Linked DNA regions of Schizosaccharomyces pombe. The gene in region 1 interacts genetically with each later gene. Each region holds a gene or a part of one and is shown in the gene's direction. Other genes may lie near its edges. The genes, in order: rad3, suc22, spd1 and srs2.

Evidence for each region.
Region 2: of rad3 (region 1) and suc22, extra expression of one rescues a mutant of the other (dosage rescue), as found in Schizosaccharomyces pombe (3 studies listed by BioGRID, with this or other methods).
Region 3: of rad3 (region 1) and spd1, a mutation in one rescues a mutant of the other (synthetic rescue), as found in Schizosaccharomyces pombe (4 studies listed by BioGRID).
Region 4: mutations in rad3 (region 1) and srs2 impair growth when combined (synthetic growth defect), as found in Schizosaccharomyces pombe (3 studies listed by BioGRID, with this or other methods).

The regions. Positions count from the first base shown.
Region 1 is NC_003423.3:902,442-907,216, forward strand, and holds the start of rad3 (ATR checkpoint kinase Rad3), read left to right. Parts: upstream 1-1,742; 5' UTR 1,743-1,923; coding exon 1,924-4,775. Other genes in the region: SPOM_SPBC216.03 (uncharacterized protein), read left to right, coding at 1-244; peptide-methionine (R)-S-oxide reductase Mxr2, read right to left, coding at 715-1,131. UniProt on the Schizosaccharomyces pombe protein: Serine/threonine kinase which activates checkpoint signaling upon genotoxic stresses. Involved in G2 arrest following DNA damage where it phosphorylates chk1.
Region 2 is NC_003423.3:3,719,803-3,723,591, forward strand, and holds suc22 (ribonucleotide reductase small subunit Suc22), read left to right. Parts: upstream 1-1,820; 5' UTR 1,821-1,952; coding exon 1,953-3,128; 3' UTR 3,129-3,270; downstream 3,271-3,789. Other genes in the region: MCM complex subunit Mcm7, read right to left, coding at 1-118; trm1 (mitochondrial tRNA (guanine-N2-)-methyltransferase Trm1.1), read left to right, coding at 3,581-3,789. UniProt on the Schizosaccharomyces pombe protein: Provides the precursors necessary for DNA synthesis. Catalyzes the biosynthesis of deoxyribonucleotides from the corresponding ribonucleotides.
Region 3 is NC_003424.3:5,410,630-5,413,736, forward strand, and holds spd1 (ribonucleotide reductase (RNR) inhibitor), read left to right. Parts: upstream 1-1,813; 5' UTR 1,814-1,859; coding exon 1,860-2,234; 3' UTR 2,235-2,590; downstream 2,591-3,107. Other genes in the region: histone lysine H3-K36 methyltransferase Set2, read right to left, coding at 1-185. UniProt on the Schizosaccharomyces pombe protein: Regulates the ribonucleotide reductase activity through its mediation of the nuclear localization of suc22, the small subunit of the ribonucleotide reductase. Delays the progression of the G1-S phase transition, thereby ensuring the G1 phase is complete.
Region 4 is NC_003424.3:3,830,265-3,836,249, forward strand, and holds srs2 (UvrD subfamily ATP-dependent DNA helicase), read left to right. Parts: upstream 1-2,014; 5' UTR 2,015-2,510; coding exon 2,511-2,872; intron 2,873-2,937; coding exon 2,938-3,202; intron 3,203-3,222; exon of another isoform or gene 3,223-3,247; coding exon 3,248-3,678; exon of another isoform or gene 3,679-3,723; coding exon 3,724-5,329; 3' UTR 5,330-5,362; coding exon of another isoform or gene 5,363-5,408; 3' UTR 5,409-5,454; downstream 5,455-5,985. Other genes in the region: SPOM_SPAC4H3.04C (uncharacterized protein), read right to left, coding at 806-1,419, 1,511-1,692, 1,752-1,885; SPOM_SPAC4H3.16 (uncharacterized protein), read right to left, coding at 5,363-5,408, 5,455-5,662, 5,703-5,772. UniProt on the Schizosaccharomyces pombe protein: ATP-dependent DNA helicase involved in DNA repair at least for UV-induced lesions. Also aids the recombinational repair of camptothecin-induced collapsed replication forks.

The DNA.
Region 1 (4,775 bases):
TTGGACGATTTTACGTCCTTCTGGTATGACAGACGAGAAGGGTTCTGGAAAAGTTGCATTGGGTAAGATATCCATAAATTGTATGATGTCTCGTGAAAACGTCGCGCGTACTGTACTACTGTTCGCTCTTGATAATCAGTCCATCCATTTGGTGGTTGACATGACGGATGGAAATGTGCCAATATATAAAGCCATTGCTGGATTCGTCGTAAAAGGAGAATCATCCTATACTTATTCAGTATAATGTAATGACATTTTCGGATCCTTCGCGTATTATTGTAGTCCACGCATCTTTTACTCCTTTCTTAAAATCTTCTGAAAAAAGAACGAAAATTTTTCAATGACCTATGAAGCGTACGCAAATTAATAAATATTTAAGTGAGGGATACTTTAGTTATACCCTTTATAGTTGAAATAAATGGAAGATCATATCAGGTAGTGTAAACATTGTGTTATCGTTTATTAACTTTGGCATAAGCAGCTTAGTTATAACATACGGCTAGTAAATCTAATTTCTGACCTAGAGATTACTACACTCTTTGAAAACAAAATATATTAGTTTAAAATGTTAAAAGTAAATGCATTTTATTGAAGTTAACCAAAACGTGAACAAGCAACTTTAAATAAAATAATAGCCGTACATCAAGCACAAACAATTCGAACTGGTGCTAACATCTAATAAAGAAAATACAGAAATATTAAGCATAATCTAGTTCAATTGTCATTTGTTGCCTCATTATGGAATTCCAAACTCGCCGAATTTATACAATGGCGTTCGTCAGTAGGATTAGAATAACCTTCTCCTTTAAAAATATGGCCTAAATGACCACCACAGTTGGCACAAACTGCTTCTACACGATGCATTCCATAAGAGTTGTCTTCAATGCGTTTCACCTTTCCAGGTAAATTATCGAAAAACGCAGGCCATCCACAATGGCTTTCAAACTTTGTGCTAGCTTTATAAAGAAGCTCTTTACATGCAGCGCAAACAAAAACGCCCTGTTTAGGGAACTGATGAGTGAATCGTCCTGCACCTGGGTGCTCAGTACCCTTTTGTCTCATAATTCGATACTTCTCAGGACCTAGCTCCTTTTTCCATTCATCTTCGCTTTTTTCCAATGGAAATCCCATCTTTGTATTATTTTTGACGTTTTGGACAGGGTAGGAGACGTTATATGCACGTTTCAAAAGATTCGTAAACTTCGTATTTCCACAGATTGAAAAGTGTGTAGTAATCACTTTTTTCATGAAAACACAAGACGATATGTACCACAACTGGCACTACAAAAATTTTCAAGTAAGTAAACGACTTTTTGACCACTATTTATGTGAATAGGTAGGTACCAAGTAAAAACTGCTTAGTAAGTATAAAACACAGAAGAATCCGCGATCTAGTGAACCAATGCCCTGCGTATGACGCTCCACTGACGCTATAGTCAATGAGAACTAGGATGTGCGATTATAACTTATCTTTTCAATATTTTCTTATTATTTATTTAAGAAATAATTGAATTAAAACTCATTTCTTCTTTTATTAGCCGTAAAATAGCTTATTTTCTCTCCTACTACCTTTCAACAATAACTTTTTTTTTTGTTTATTGACCATTATAATCACATCAAAAGTCAAAAAATTCAATCATTATCAGAAACATCCAGCCTAATATTACTTAAAAGTTAGTTTCCTCTGAAAATTCAGTATCACAAAAGCTCGTTAATTAGCATCGCTCGATACTTAGTGCACCATGCATCTTCCTTTACCTCGTGAGTGGAAATCGATTTGATAATCGATTGCCACTTTTCGCATAATTCTATTGAGATATTTTATTACTTACAATCGTCTTTTATAAATGCTCAAGACTTTGAACGCGCGTGTTGCGTTTTAAAAAGGCCTTTTTTTGAATTGAATCAATGGTTTGATATAGTATGAGCCAACACGCAAAAAGGAAAGCTGGGTCACTCGATCTTTCACCCAGAGGCTTAGATGACAGACAGGCTTTCGGACAGCTTTTGAAAGAAGTATTAGCATTAGACAAAGAACATGAGTTAGGTAGAAGTAATTCTTTACCATCTATGACCTCCGAGCTTGTTGAAGTTTTAATTGAAGTTGGTCTTCTAGCTTTTAAACATGATGATTCAAAATCTGAATTTATCTCTCCTAAGATGCTAAAAGAAGCCCATCTCTCTCTACAAGCGTTAATGCTAATCTTAAAAAGGTCTCCGACAGTTTTGCGGGAGATTAAATCATCTGTTACTCTTTTGGATTGGATTTTACCCAGGACTATATCATTGTTTGCTGATATTCGTTTTATTAAGTTATTTGACTCATTAAAAGAGTTTCATAAGCTAATTTATCAGCTAATCAGTGAAAAGTCATTCCTATGGGACTTATATGCTTCGTTTATGCGTTATTGGAAATATTATATTACAAACGTTTCTTCTATAGTTCTCCAAATCACTAATGCTACATTCCCTTACAAGATGCCCTCACCCAATTCTCAACCATTGCAGAGTATCACCCCAAATTATCCAACCCATCGAGAGGACAAATTTGATTTACTTATCATTAATATAGAGGAGGCTTGTACATTTTTCTTTGAAAGTGCCCATTTTTTTGCACAATGCTCATATTTAAAGAAATCCAATTTTCCTAGTCCACCTCTCTTTACAGCGTGGACTTGGATCAAGCCATGTTTTTTTAATTTTGTTATTTTATTAAAACGAATCAGCATCGGAGACTCACAGCTCTTTCTACATTTGCATTCACGTATAGTCCAAACTTTATGCTGTTTTTCCTTGAATTTTATATATCATGGCCTTCCCATTTGTGAAAAATCTAAACATATTTTAATGTCCTCCATCAACTTAACATTGGGATCATTGAAGAAAACTTATACAGTTGCTAATACTGCTATATCTCTTTTTTTTCTCTCTTTATTTGTTTTACCCAAAACTGTAGCTGGTCTATTCTATCCTTTTGGGGTTTCCTTACTTTCTGACTTCAAGGTATTAGAGCAACTTGAACCAGATTCTGATCTCAAAAAGGCAATAATATTATTTAAGTGCAGATACCAAAGTTCAGAAATAGATCAAACAACTCTCCGTGCTTTTGGCGAAATTTGTACTGGTAAACTTGAAAACACGTTGTTTTCTAACTCTGAATTAAACCTTTTTCTTTTACATTATCTTTCCTTGGACAATGACTTGTCAAATATTCTTAAAGTGGATTTCCAGAATGGTCATAACATATGTACATTTGCAAAATGGTGTATAAACAACAACTTAGATGAACCGTCTAATTTAAAGCACTTTCGTGAAATGTTAGATTATTATAGCTCTCATAATGTTACAATAAGTGAGGACGACCTGAAGAACTTCTCTTTAGTTTTGTGTACTCATGTTGCAAAGGTGAATGAGAAAACAAATAGTATTTTCCGCACATATGAAGTACATGGTTGTGAAGTTTGTAACTCATTTTGTTTACTATTTGATGAGCGGTCGCTCTTTAAAATTCCTTATCACGAATTGTTTTGTGCATTGCTAAAAAATCCCGACATAATTTCCTCTTCTGTTAAACAATCATTGTTGCTTGATGGCTTTTTTCGGTGGAGCCAGCATTGCTCAAACTTTAATAAAGAATCAATGTTAAGTTTAAGAGAATTTATTATGAAAGCATTAGCCAGTACTTCAAGATGTTTACGTGTTGTTGCTGCAAAAGTTTTGCCCATTTTCATTAAGGGACCTAATAATCTTGATATAGTTGAATTTCACAAGGAAAGTAAAGCCTTGATTTTTAATACGTTGAAAATATTGGCGGTGGAAAATACAGCTATTTTAGAAACGGTCATTCTTTCCTGGATCTCCTTATCTAGAGTGGTAGAAGAAGAAGAATTACATTTTGTACTATTGGAAGTTATATCTTCTGTGATAAACAGCGGAATATTTTATCAAGGCATTGGTCTCAGCGCTCTGCAACAAATTGCCTCGACGCGTCATATATCCGTTTGGCAATTACTTTCTCCATATTGGCCAACAGTGTCCGTTGCGATTGTCCAAGGTATGGGTAAAAAACCGAACATAGCCAGTTTATTTGCTCAGCTTATGAATATTTCCGAGGGCGATTTTCTTATTCGAACACAGGCGTACACTTTACCATTCCTTGTACTTACTAAAAACAAAGCGTTAATAGTACGTATAGCTGAACTTTCACAAAGTGATGTTGCTACTTTGTGCCTTACCAATATGCATAAAATCCTTGCTTCGCTACTTACTACGGATCATCCTAATTTGGAAGAGAGTGTGATGCTTCTTCTTTCACTGGCCACTTCTGATTTTGAAAAAGTTGATTTAACGTCTTTGTTACGCTCTGATCCTATTTCTATTACTGTGGAGTTGTTACAGCTTTATCAGAATGATGTTCCTCATGAAAAAATTGAAAATGCTTTAAGAAAGGTAGCAATGATTGTCTCTCAAGTGGTTAATGACGAAGACTTGAGCAATAAGGAATTACTTTATGATTTTTTTAATAATCACATTTTGGGTATCTTAGCAGAATTTTCTAATATCCTTAACGACCTGAAAGGAAAGACTTCAATTAATGAAAAGATTAAGACAATTGTCGGCATTGAAAAAATGTTATCTTTATGTGGAGGTGCAGTCAAACTTGGATTACCACAGATACTTTCTAATTTACAAAGTGCTTTTCAAAATGAGCACTTAAGGTTTTATGCAATCAAAGCTTGGTTCAGTTTGATATTAGCAACCAAGGAGCCCGAGTA
Region 2 (3,789 bases), 2.8 Mb from region 1:
CCTGATTTTGTTGTCCATCTTGAACCTGTTCCTGCTTGAAGTGGGATAGAAAATCCGTAATTTTATGTTGACATTCTTCATACTCTGGGATTTTTAAATCTATGGTGGGAAGTGCCATGCTTTTCAAACCAAAAAAGTATCCCAAAACTTTTCTGCTGAATTAGCAAAAAATATAAAGGTTCAAAAAGAAAGCAAGGGTATTAAGTAAGGGTAAGATACCAAGAAAGGTTCTTCTTTAGGTTGTTTTAGTTAGTTGGTAGTATGAATCAACGCGAACTCGTAAGGTAACAAAAATGTAAATATTGTAACTTAGGGCATATACAAATTGTCATTGACTCTAAAGAAATTGCAGTGTATAATTTTTTTGATTCTCTACATATTTCCTTTTTAATTTATTACTCTCGCAGCAAAAGTAAACATTCAGTTTGATTTTAAAAGCCACTATGTAGTACTGTTAGAAATTTTTTTTGGAGAGTATTCACTATGTATAAATAAACAGTTTATTTGTTTTAAATTAATAATAATCATTTTGCCAGACAATAAATTGGTCATTTTATTTTCATAAATGTATGTCTAATTGTTTTCATTGCTTCAATCGATTGTTATTTTAGCTATCCATAATTTTTCCTATTTTTCTTCTACACGTTTTGTATTTCTAAACATGAGAGTTATTTAGACTACTGCCTAAAATTTATTTCACTTTTATTTTTAAAAATTTTTTTGAAAACTTATGAAGTAAGTTAGCAGGGAAATTCTCAAAAGAAATGCGATATCAACAATATAAAAACTTCGAGTAGGGAACTTTTTATTTTTTGTTCGGTTATTTCAAACATCAGTGAAGAATGAATATAGAAAATTCTTTATTGTTTTATACCACATTGTAAACTGTACCTAAAAGCACAACACGCAATAGAAACGTGCTATTGGAATGCTTATTTATTTTCTGTTTACAATAGACGAATATAAGTATTTCTTTTTTTTTTTACGAAAGGATCAAGGTATTAAAATTATTCACAGTATGTGGCTAGGTCTCTGTCGCGCTTATCTTTTTTTAATTAAGCAATGTCTTTATGTACGGTCGCGTCGCATTAGAAGTTTCGTGATTTGTAATATTTGAGCAGTTATAAAGCGCTCTACATCTCGGATGAAAAGGAGATTGTGAAGAGATATTTATTTCTAACATCATATCGTACTACTAGGCTGATATCATTGCGTTTCATCTACAACATAAATTGAGGTACCCTGACGCGTCTTAAGTATTACACTGAAAACTACTTTATTAAATTATAACAAAAAGTGAGAAATTTAATAATTTATTTATTACATAAAGTAATAAATTCATTTCTATTTTTTCAATTATTTGAGCCTAAATAATTGAATTTATTCGACTCCACGCTTAGCATCGAATTCTTCGATTTAAGCTATCACATTTTTCTATTAACTAGCTACAATTTCCTGCTTTAAGAAACCGTTATTATAACACACCAGAAGGGAAAGGAAGTAAGCCCTTGCTTTTCCCATTTAATTTGAGATTGTCTTCGAATTTATTTCATTTTTTTTACTCGTTGCGTTTGTCTCCAAATATTAATTAGTACATTGTTTTTTTTCAACGTTATTCATCTCCATCAGCCTTTGACTTAGTTTAACTGCAATTTTCCACTCTGTAAAATAAGGCAGCATTTTGTCTATTTTGCCTTCACTCTTATTCATTGTGTTATCATACCCAAAGTGCGACAAATTAACATCCACAAAAAAAACGGTGGTGTTGAATATACTACAATACTGTGCACTACATTGGATAACCTACCTTTGAAAGTTTTGCCATTAACCACAACACATCTTGGGAAGCCACATCGCAAGAGATAATCGCGGTGGAAGAAAACTTTTGTACTTATTCTATATACAGATAAATCCGGTCAGTTTGGACGAAATCTCATTATTAATCTTACAAAATGGGCCTTGAGCATCTCGAAGAATTCAGTTATCCTAAGGAACATGGTGAAGAAGTCGAGTATGATAGCGAACAAGGTGTTCGTAAAATTTATGTTAAATCTATTAAAGAAACCTTTAACTTTGATAATGTAAGTGAAGAAGAGAAACAGGAAGGAGGCGACTACTACTTGGGCAAAAAGGAAGATGAGCTTGATGAAGTTGTGCTTCGCCCTAATCCTCACCGCTTTGTTTTGTTTCCAATTAAGTATCACGAAATTTGGCAATTCTACAAGAAGGCTGAAGCATCTTTTTGGACTGCTGAGGAAATTGATCTTTCGAAAGACTTGGTTGATTGGGATAACAAGTTAAATGCTGATGAACGTTACTTTATTTCCACTGTACTCGCCTATTTCGCTGCGTCAGATGGTATTGTTAATGAGAATCTTCTCGAGCGTTTCAGCTCTGAAGTTCAGATCCCTGAAGCTCGTTGTGTTTATGGTTTCCAAATTATGATTGAAAATATTCACTCTGAGACCTACTCACTTTTGCTTGATACATACATTCGTGAACCTAAGGAAAAACAGCGTCATTTCGATGCTATTTTAACAATGGGTTCTATTAAGGCCAAAGCCAAGTGGGCTCTTCGTTGGATTAATGATGAAGATTCCACCTATGCAATTCGTTTGGTTGCCTTTGCTGCTGTAGAAGGTATCTTCTTTTCTGGATCGTTTGCCTCTATTTTTTGGCTTAAGAAACGTGGACTTATGCCTGGTCTTACTTTTTCCAATGAATTGATTTGTCGTGATGAGGGTCTTCACACCGACTTTGCCTGTTTGATGTTTAGTCATTTGAAGCACAGACCAGGCCGCAAGGTTGTTGAAGCCATTATTGTTGAAGCTGTTGATATTGAGAAAGAATACTTCACGGACGCTCTTCCCGTTAGTCTGCTTGGTATGAATAAGGATTTGATGTGTCAGTATATTGAATTTGTTGCTGATCGTTTGTTGGTTGCTTTGGGCAATGACAAGTACTATAACGTAACCAATCCTTTCGATTTCATGGAGAATATCTCTTTAGCAGGAAAAACAAATTTCTTTGAAAAGAAAGTTTCTGACTACCAAATTGCTGGCGTTATGTCGGGTACCAAGCGCGCTGAGAAGGATGATCATACATTTACAATCGATGAGGACTTTTAGATGACTAGTTATTTTTGGTTTTTAGATAAGTTAAAGCAAAAAAAAAATATTATTGATTACTGATAACCTATTTAGCAATAATAAATTAATATGTTTAATTAGATTTTCGTTACTCTATACTTTACAAATCTAAATGGCTACTTCAGTGAATGTAATGACGAAGTTCTAATTTCTGAAGTATTTCTATTCAAGTTCTTTTCTCTTTTTCATTAATTTACTACGTCTAAGAAAAGTTATTTTCCAGTCATAGACTAAAAGACCATTTACTTATTATCCTTATTGTCAATTACCTAAACCTACAAGATTACATGTATTATACAATACTTTGTAATTCGATTTATGGTTGACTTATCACATCTCGTATTTTTTTAATGAATTACTGCAAATTTACTCTCAAAAATAATCAATACTTTCTTTTTTTTTAACGATTATTTTTCTTTAATTCGTATTAAATGTATGAAGCCAATATGCTAAGATTAAGTCAAAGGATCTCAAATGCTGTGAATCACTTCTCAACCGCCATGATGTCGGGGGCTTCTGCAAGTTTGACCGAGGGTAGTGCAATTATACCATTTTCAAATCCGAATGAAGTCTTTTATAACCCCGTACAACAATTTAATAGAGATTTAAGCGTTACAGCTATTCGTGCTTGGTCGGAAAC
Region 3 (3,107 bases), on another chromosome or scaffold:
GGAGCACTTTCGTCTTTATTCATCCCTTCGGCATCCTCTTTACTTTCGAAATCATGAGATGACGAAGAAGATGGTGATGAACCGACTGCCTGGACAGCGATTGTGTCTTTTGACCAAGAAGACTTCCTATCAACGTTTTCCTCATTCAAAGGAGTTAAAACAGAAAGAGATGATGCCGTCTGCATTGTATGATAATGGACAAAAAGAAAGAGAAAGTTAAAAAATCTACAGTTTTATTGAACAAAAAGTAATTGCCGAAGGAAGCCAAAACAATAGAAAGAAGACCAGCTGAAATTTCACCGAAAATCTTCTTTTTAGAAAATTTCCGAAAATATCTCGATGCGTAACATATAGATCTTCTAACGTTTCAAAGTTTCGTGTCAAAGAAACAGTGAGATCAGGAAATTGTCTCAAGGAAGAAGTTGTGGCTGTTGGCGGCGTTCCTTCTTTACTCGCGGAATCCTCGTAGGGGCTCACAGTACCGGAGTGTAAACGACAACTCTTGACTTTAGTGTTAAATATTAAAGAAACCTATTAAAAGAAAAGGCTTTAAAATCTTTACTTTCATTTCATTCAAGCATCTACAAAAAATCACCATCACGCGCAACATTTGAATGCCATTCTTTTCCAGAAATTCCATAATAGTTGTTGAAGAAATAACACTGTTAGTGTAATAAAATTCACTCTGTTTTTTACACTCGGCGCCTTATGTAGCGAATATCTTTGAATTAATAATATCAATCATACTATGTAACTGTAGTAGGTTGTTTATCCAAAAAACATATGGTACGCAAAGATAGACACTAATTATCAACAATGAATGAATAAGAAAAGCTTTTTCAACGAATATTTTGAGTGAGGCAGTCAGCGTGCTCATACTGGATAGACCCAGAACAAGTAAGTTTACAATATGTTCAATTTACAAATCCAAGCATGTGGTATTGAATTATATTTGGTATTCTTTTTGTTCCCTTGGTCTTATTAATGTAAAATCATCATCTACCTGCATCTATTGAAGCAGTAATTAAACAGAAGTTTGAGAATCGGTAAAGAAAGAAACTAGGAATGTATGTAATAAAGTCATTTTATTTTGAAAATGCTCATCCTGTTAATTCTAGGTAGATTCTTTATTTCTTCAAACCCAACCACTTTTGTTAATATTGTTTAAACACATAATATATACATTGGCGAAATTGAAATAATGCTAAAATTTTGTCAGAGCATTAGTCATTGTTAATTTTAAAAAGCTATTAAACAAAAATAAAGGCTAAGAAAAAAAGATAAACCTATTCCATATGTTTATATATGTGTATCTTATCTTAAAAGGTCTTTAACTCAAGCTATACTTACTACAATCTATATGCAGCTACTTGTCCTTCATGGCACGACGGTGCCAGTAAAGTTAATAAGAAAACCATACCGAACAGGGGCCAAGTTACGATGAGACAACATGTGAAGAACAAAGGAAGAAGCGATTTCAAGCTTTGCAAAAGGTTTGACCAAATTTAACGAACAAACGTTTCAGCTGTTACCTTGAAAGCAGTTGGCAATAAAAGAGAAAGCGAATTTAATTGCTTTAAATGTTTTACTTTAACTCTTAGATATAAAGAGTGCGGAAAAAGTGGCAGAACCACAAGAAAACAAGATCTCAATCGCAAAAGCAATAAAACTGCAATTCCAAATTTTGTAGATTTTCTACCATTTATGAATAACGTGGGTTAGTGAAATGTAAAGAGATCCGTGTTCGATAGGCATTCCCCAGACAAATTTGACTGCTTTAAACGTCACAAAGCCGAGTAGCAAACGCTCCCACAACCAAACACTACACAAAGGTTCGTCGACAATTTATTTTGGAAAAAATGCACAGCAGCAAGCGAGTTATGACCACAAAGACTCATGTTGAGCAGCCTGAGTCTTCAATGCGTCCTCAGCTTCCCGAAAGCATTCAAGGCTCCTTAATGGACGTGGGAATGCGGGTTCGTAAATCAATTTCCACCGGATACAAGTCGAAACAAACCACGTTTCCTGCCTATAACCCACCGCTTTACAACACTGTTTCTGAAAACATTGCTTTAAAAAATACCGCATTTTCTTATGAGCCTAACGGTACTAAGCGTCCATTCGAGCAAGCAATTCCTAATTATAACTGGGCCAATCCTCCTCAAGACTTTGAAGAACCGGAATGGTTGAAGCCGTTTGACGTTGTCATGGAGGGTACCAATGAGAGATTATAAGCTAAATGTGAATCTCGTATATCTCTTCTTTAAGGATAATTTGACACCAATCCTCATAGTTCCAATTATTCCTTCGTTCATTAGTCTTTGACTTTGTTGATTCCCTATACCATTAATACATTTTATTATTGGTTTTGTGAGTGACGGCTAAGTGATTTTCTACTAATTAAACCCCCTCTTCTTTTGGGCATTTGTCTCTCCTTGTTAATTAAACTCTTTACATCTATGAATGATCTAGTCATATCTTTTTTTATTTTATCTTATTTGCTTATCGTTTTCTGCTTGACCAACTTATAATGGATTACTTTGTTGTCGTTGAATATCTGAATAGTAATTTTTTTCTAATACGTACATAATTTTTTGAAAGACTCATTCCTCGTATTTCCTCAGTAAATGTCACTTTTTTGGTGTACATGTAGATCGACCAAAGTAACCTGTTGCGGGCGACTTTTGTAACTTGTTATTTCTACTTTAAATCTTTTTCTTTTATGATGTTAGGGCGTTGGTAGGGGTTGTAACGTAAAAGGAAACAATTTTTGATATTTTCTCTACGGCATGTGAAAAGTATTACCCAACATGCCACGGAATTCTACGCTGTTTCAGTAATAAAATTTTATTATTATTATTATTATTATTTTTTTTTTGAAAAGATGTAATAAAATGCTTATATTTATAGATTACAAAGAGACAGTAATAACGTTACTCAGCTAACTAAAAAAGTGCAAACTAAACAGCGAATATGGCAAAAAACAGTCATATTTAAAAAAAAAATAATAATTTGAGAGGGAAAAATGGAATAATTTATTTAAAAACAAAAGATACCATAAAATCAATTAATCTACACATAAAATTTACAACTAGGATGTTATTTTG
Region 4 (5,985 bases), on another chromosome or scaffold:
ATTCTTTGTATACTATCTTGAGAATCAGTAATCTCAGGGCTGAGAAAATACTCTGCCGGTAGACACTATACGGTACTTCTTAAACGTTTAAATAAAAGTAATTTATACAACAAATGTCTACGGCCATACCTAGGCGAAAACACCAGTTCCCGTCCGATCACTGCAGTTAAGCGTCTGAGGGCCTCGTTAGTACTATGGTTGGAGACAACATGGGAATCCGGGGTGCTGTAGGCTTCCTTTTATTCATTTTTTTTTTGTTTGTTTTTGTGTTAATTTATTGTTAAACATGAAATTTTTGTATTGAAATTTTGTCTTGAACTCGTTGAGGCTGTATAATTTTCAAGCAAAGCTGGAAAGCATACTAGTTTAGAAGGTTATGCACATGCATGAATTGACTTTGATAATATAATAATGTTTTCGTTACTAATCGTGTAAAAGAAATTTGTTCAGAATATCAAAAACAGTAGTTTTATACATAGTAGAAAGATTTAAAAATTGATTAATTCTCAAGAGAGACCAATTGATACATACAGAAAACAAAAAAATTATATAAATGGAAAAGGGTATGTTTCGTAAATGTTGCAATTGAGAAATAAAGCGCATTTCATTTATCGTAATTTGCCTAGATCAGAAAAAGCATTGCAAAATTAGCCTCCTGAGTATGAATCTGATGATAATAACTAACAAACACAGGTTGCATAATACATGTTCCGATAATTTTCGGCTCTCAAATACTTAAATATATGATCGTTTCGCATCAGCCGTTTCAAGTCATGAAAAAAATAATAATAAAATATCAACAATACTATGCGGTTGCGGTTGCATAGCTAACGCTGCTATCGGTGACCAATTCAACATGGCTACTTTGAGCGTACGAAATAAACTTGAATCTTTCAGAGAAATTGGCGCATTCCATAGATTTCATAATGAGTTCTATAGGGTAACGGCCGCATATGGTGTTTTGAGTGGTTTTCAAATACTCTGAAAAGTCATCACTACTTTTCGTTTCAATAATTTTCATACCAATATGATCCAAATTAGATATAGACTCATAAATTTTGGGACTAGTGGGGCCACCTCGTCTTTTGTATTTTAAGACTGCATCCTCTAATTGATTCGTATCGTTCAAATAAAGGGTATATCCAAATCTTCTTCCCCAATGACAAAAATCGGAAGATATAACAAATGAATTTGATTCATCTTTAATATACTGACTCAGAAATTTCGCTGCTGCCATCATTGTGGTTGAAGTTAAGGCACCTATCATGATAGGAACAATTTTGACTTTTCCCAAGCATCCTTGTTTCAGCAAATGAAAAGCTAAAAGAGGGAATTGCATTTCGAGGCTATGTTCACTTTCATCCACATCCAAGGTCATTGAGTCGAAGCTGTTATCGCTAGCGACGAGTTTCTGACATACTATATAAATTTCCAGTTAGCAAATAATCTGTGCTGAGAAATAGACAGTAGCAATTTAGTAAAACTACTAAGCAAAACTGTTTTCACATACAGTCTTCATCCACTTTCAAATCACCTAAAGGTGTTGAGCAGATGCTAGCTCGACTGACTAGGCATTTTCTAGTAAAGATGTGATGAGAAGGCCCAAAAACAAAAACTCTCTGAATTTTCGAAAAGTCCAATTGCTGAAATCCTTGGGATGCGACTTTCCCACTATACATGTAACCAGCATGTCTGCTCAATATTTAGCTATATACTGAATATCACATAAATTATAAGTTGTCTATACGTACGGTGAAATGACAAACCGTTTCCCAGTCTCGGGCGTTGGGTTTTTGATAAATGATTTTAATTGCTTAGTTAGTAATTCTGTATCATCCAAATACCAAGATCCTGCATGAGTTGCTTCACGAATGGCTTGTGACATGAGATAAATTGAAGAATAATATTGATACGTTCAAATTGTAATTCGGTTTGTGATGTTCGTTTGACAATGGGTATTATTTTCTGAACAACACACTGTTACATATATCTTGCTTTCTTGCCTTCATCATTTGCGTTTTGCTGCACTAACACCACTTTTGGGAGGTCGAAACACAAGACTAAGACAATCGCAAAATCAGGTTTTCACACAATAAAATCATTACTTAAGAATACTGAATTGAAAGGCTTTCATTTGTTATACGTTCACGATTTACTCAAATTTCTTGTAGTAAAAACAGGTGGATTAAAATCTTTTTCGTATCCGTGTATCAGCCCTTTCGCGCTGGTAGGTCAATCGAGAATACTAAGAAATTGCAAGTGTTGTTTTCAACTAAATAAGGGTTGATCTTCTAAATTATTTCACCTATGCTATGCTTTCGTTAAAATAATAAGTATTTGTTAATTTTCTTAGTTTGACGTGTCATCGTTTCACAATTTAATATTTATTACCCGACAACTCATCGGAAAAGACCGTGTTTGGCCAAAAATCTTTGCATTGTTTTCCTATTTCTCACTTTTTTAAAATATACATTTGAAGCTGTCGGTTGAGTGTTTTGTTCTTCTCAATTATGGAAACGAAATCATCATACTTGAAGTTTCTGAATGAAGAACAAAGGATTAGTGTTCAGAGTCCTCATAAGTATACTCAAATTTTAGCCGGTCCTGGGTCTGGAAAAACCCGTGTTCTTACCGCTCGAGTAGCCTATTTACTTCAAAAGAACCATATTGCAGCCGAAGATTTAATTATAGCCACCTTTACGAACAAAGCCGCAAATGAAATAAAGCTCAGAATTGAAGCTATTTTGGGGAATAGTGAAGCCTCTAAGCTTATTTCTGGGACGTTTCATTCTATAGCGTACAAGTATTTGGTTAAATATGGCAAGCATATAGGGCTATCCTCAAATTGGTTGATTGCTGACAGAAATGATACGTATGTCTTGTTTACACTTTTCTAACTTTTACTTCTCCACTTTCAACCATTGCTGATCTATTTAGTCAAGCTATTATGAAGCGACTTTTAGACTCTCTCAAGAAAGCTAAAAATCCGATTGCTTCTGGTATTAGAGGACAAGAATTGACTCCTCAGAATGCTCTAAATCGCATAACTAAATTAAAGTCCAACGGTCTTCTTGTTAAACCTGGAATGGATCAGTTGAGTTTGATTAATGGTCTGGAAGAACCACCTAAAGAGCTTCAAAGCCATCAATCTGTTGAATTGTATAGACTTTATCAAACTTCCTTATGGAAGAACAATTTAGCGGTACGTAACAAGCATAAAGTTGTATGTATATATCTAACTATTTAGGATTTTGATGATTTGCTTTTAAACTTTATTTTATTACTTCAAAAGCAACCAGATTGTGTGAGGAATATAAAACATATTTTAATCGATGAATTTCAAGATACTAGCAAAATCCAATATTTTCTTGTTAAGCTTTTGGCATTGCAAAATTCAGATATCACGATTGTTGGCGATCCCGATCAATCAATCTATGGATTTCGAAGTGCTGAAATTAGGAACTTAAACCAAATGTCTGAAGACTTTGAAGGTACCCAAGTGCTTCATTTGGAAAGAAATTACCGTTCAGCTAAACCTATACTTGAATTAGCACTGTCTATCATTTCACAGGACAAAAGCAGGCCTAAGAAGGGGCTCAAAAGTAATCACATCTCTTCCTTAAAGCCTCATTACCGATTGTTTGAAACTAACAATAAAGAATCTTACTGGATCGCAAGGTTCGTATGGCTTCATTGCATGAAAGTTTACTAACGATTCTTTAGAGAAATTAAACGTATAGTAGGTTCTTGTCCAGAGCTTATATTTTATAACGATATCGCAATCCTTGTAAGGTCCTCCAGCCTTACAAGAAGTTTAGAACATGCACTTTCCGAACTTGGTGTGCCCTACCGCATGGTTGGAGTTAACAAGTTTTTTGATAGAGAAGAGATTCGAGACTTAATAGCTTACTTGAGAGTCCTAGCTAACAAAGATTCGACTTCTTTAATTCGTGTCATCAATGTCCCTCCTAGAAATATTGGCAAAACAAAAATCGACCGTATTATTTTCGAAAGTGAAAGAAGAGGATTGACCTTTTGGCAAACTTTAAATGAAGTAAAGAATGAAAATATTTTACTTTCTCAAAGAAATGACAAGAGTTTTCTAAAGTCTTTAAAGTCTTTTCTTTGTTCAATCTCCAAACTTGAAAATCGTTACTTGTCTAATGGGCACTCAGCAACTCTTAGTGATTTACTTTTGGGAATACTTTCTGAGATTAAATATTACGAATACCTGGTTCGGAAAAATAAAGAAACTGTCGAAGAAAAATGGGAAAATGTAATGGAGCTTGTACAACAAAGCGATAACATATCTTGTATATTCTATGAATTAGATTACAAAATATCAACAATTGTTCTATTGCAGAATTTTTTGACTCAAATCGCTCTTGTGAATGAAGAACAGAAAGAGGGCGAATCTCAGAAGGTTACCATTTCAACCCTTCACGCAGCTAAGGGTTTAGAGTGGCCTGTTGTATTTTTACCTTGTCTTTGTGAAAATATTATCCCTCATTCTCGTTCAGACGACCTCGACGAGGAAAGAAGGCTGCTATATGTCGGTGCCACACGTGCACAGGCGCTACTGTATCTATCTTCCTTTAAAAGCGTCACTGGAATGTTTGCAGATATGCAGAACTCAGACAATGTACAGGACGTCAGTCCATTTTTAAAAGGAGAAGAAATGAAAAGATGGGTGATGGAAAGTGAAATAGTTTTTAATGAAAAGATTGCTTCTGAAATTGGAACCATATTGGGTCGGAAATCTTATGGGAAAATAACTAATTTAAGCGGTATTGGTTCAAATGCAAATCATAACGGAACTAAATTCGAAAACTTGGGCTTCCAATGCTGTCGTGTTCTAGCTGAGGCAGAATTGAAAAAGAGAGAACGAGTCAAAAGTGTCAATGACTATAATAAAGATGAAACAAATTTTAGAAAACATAATGCCAAGAGATCGAAAACCGATATACGAAGTTGGTTTGAGAAAAAACAACCAATCGATTCAGATGTAGAGATTTCTGAGCCGTCAAGGTCCGCAAGCATAATGGTTGCAAATAAAGATTTAAATGATCGAAGTTTTGAAACTGTCAATCGTATTGTATCGACAAGAGCCTCAACGACAAACGCTTCTTTCATGAGCAGCGTCAGACAAAATCTTGGTAGAGGTCCTTCTACGAAAGATCAGGTAATAAATAGAACGTTGAGGGAAGGTCACCAAGATGTTGTGCAACATACTGACCTTAATCAATCAAATACTAAGGTCGCGAGTGCCCGTCCTGCTGGTTCGAGAAAACGATTGGGTGTAAGGCTACGAGTTTCACGAATGTTATAGTCATATCATGTTGTACAAAATCACGTATTATATTTATAGACAATCTAAACACCTTGCTACGGTGTTTTCTTTAAAATACCTACATATAATGTCAGCTTGAAAATAGATACAGATAATAAACTTACATTAGAGTACTACAGTTTCGACAAATATTTCGTTGGCAGCGATCACATGTAGAAAGATATAATACGTTATCACAAAATTCGCAAACACCGGTAGATGAAGGCAGATGGTCATTGTCAGTAACAAAATTAACCTTTTCATTTAAAACGATAGAAGAGGCATCATGGGCATTACTTTTTTTGCTTGCAAACAAACTAAGAAAAGATCTCACTTAGAAGCTTAGTAAAAAATCGCTAAATTCTTCACTTACTATCCAAATGATTTTTACACTTCTTTCTTGGTAACCTACTAGGAACATGTTCAGAACGACATCTTTTCATAGCTAAATCTCGGATACTTCGAGTTTCAAAAAAATGTGACACGTTGTTCTACCCTCTTAAAGCCTTATCGAGGTGTTGTTTTGTTTTTGTGGAACGCGGACTAGATGGCTAGTGCATGGTCTAATGGACTGTACAGGAATGGTCAAATAGGCGATACTTCTTGTCAAAATATAGCACTAAATGCATTTTTGAACCCTGTATATATTCGAAAAA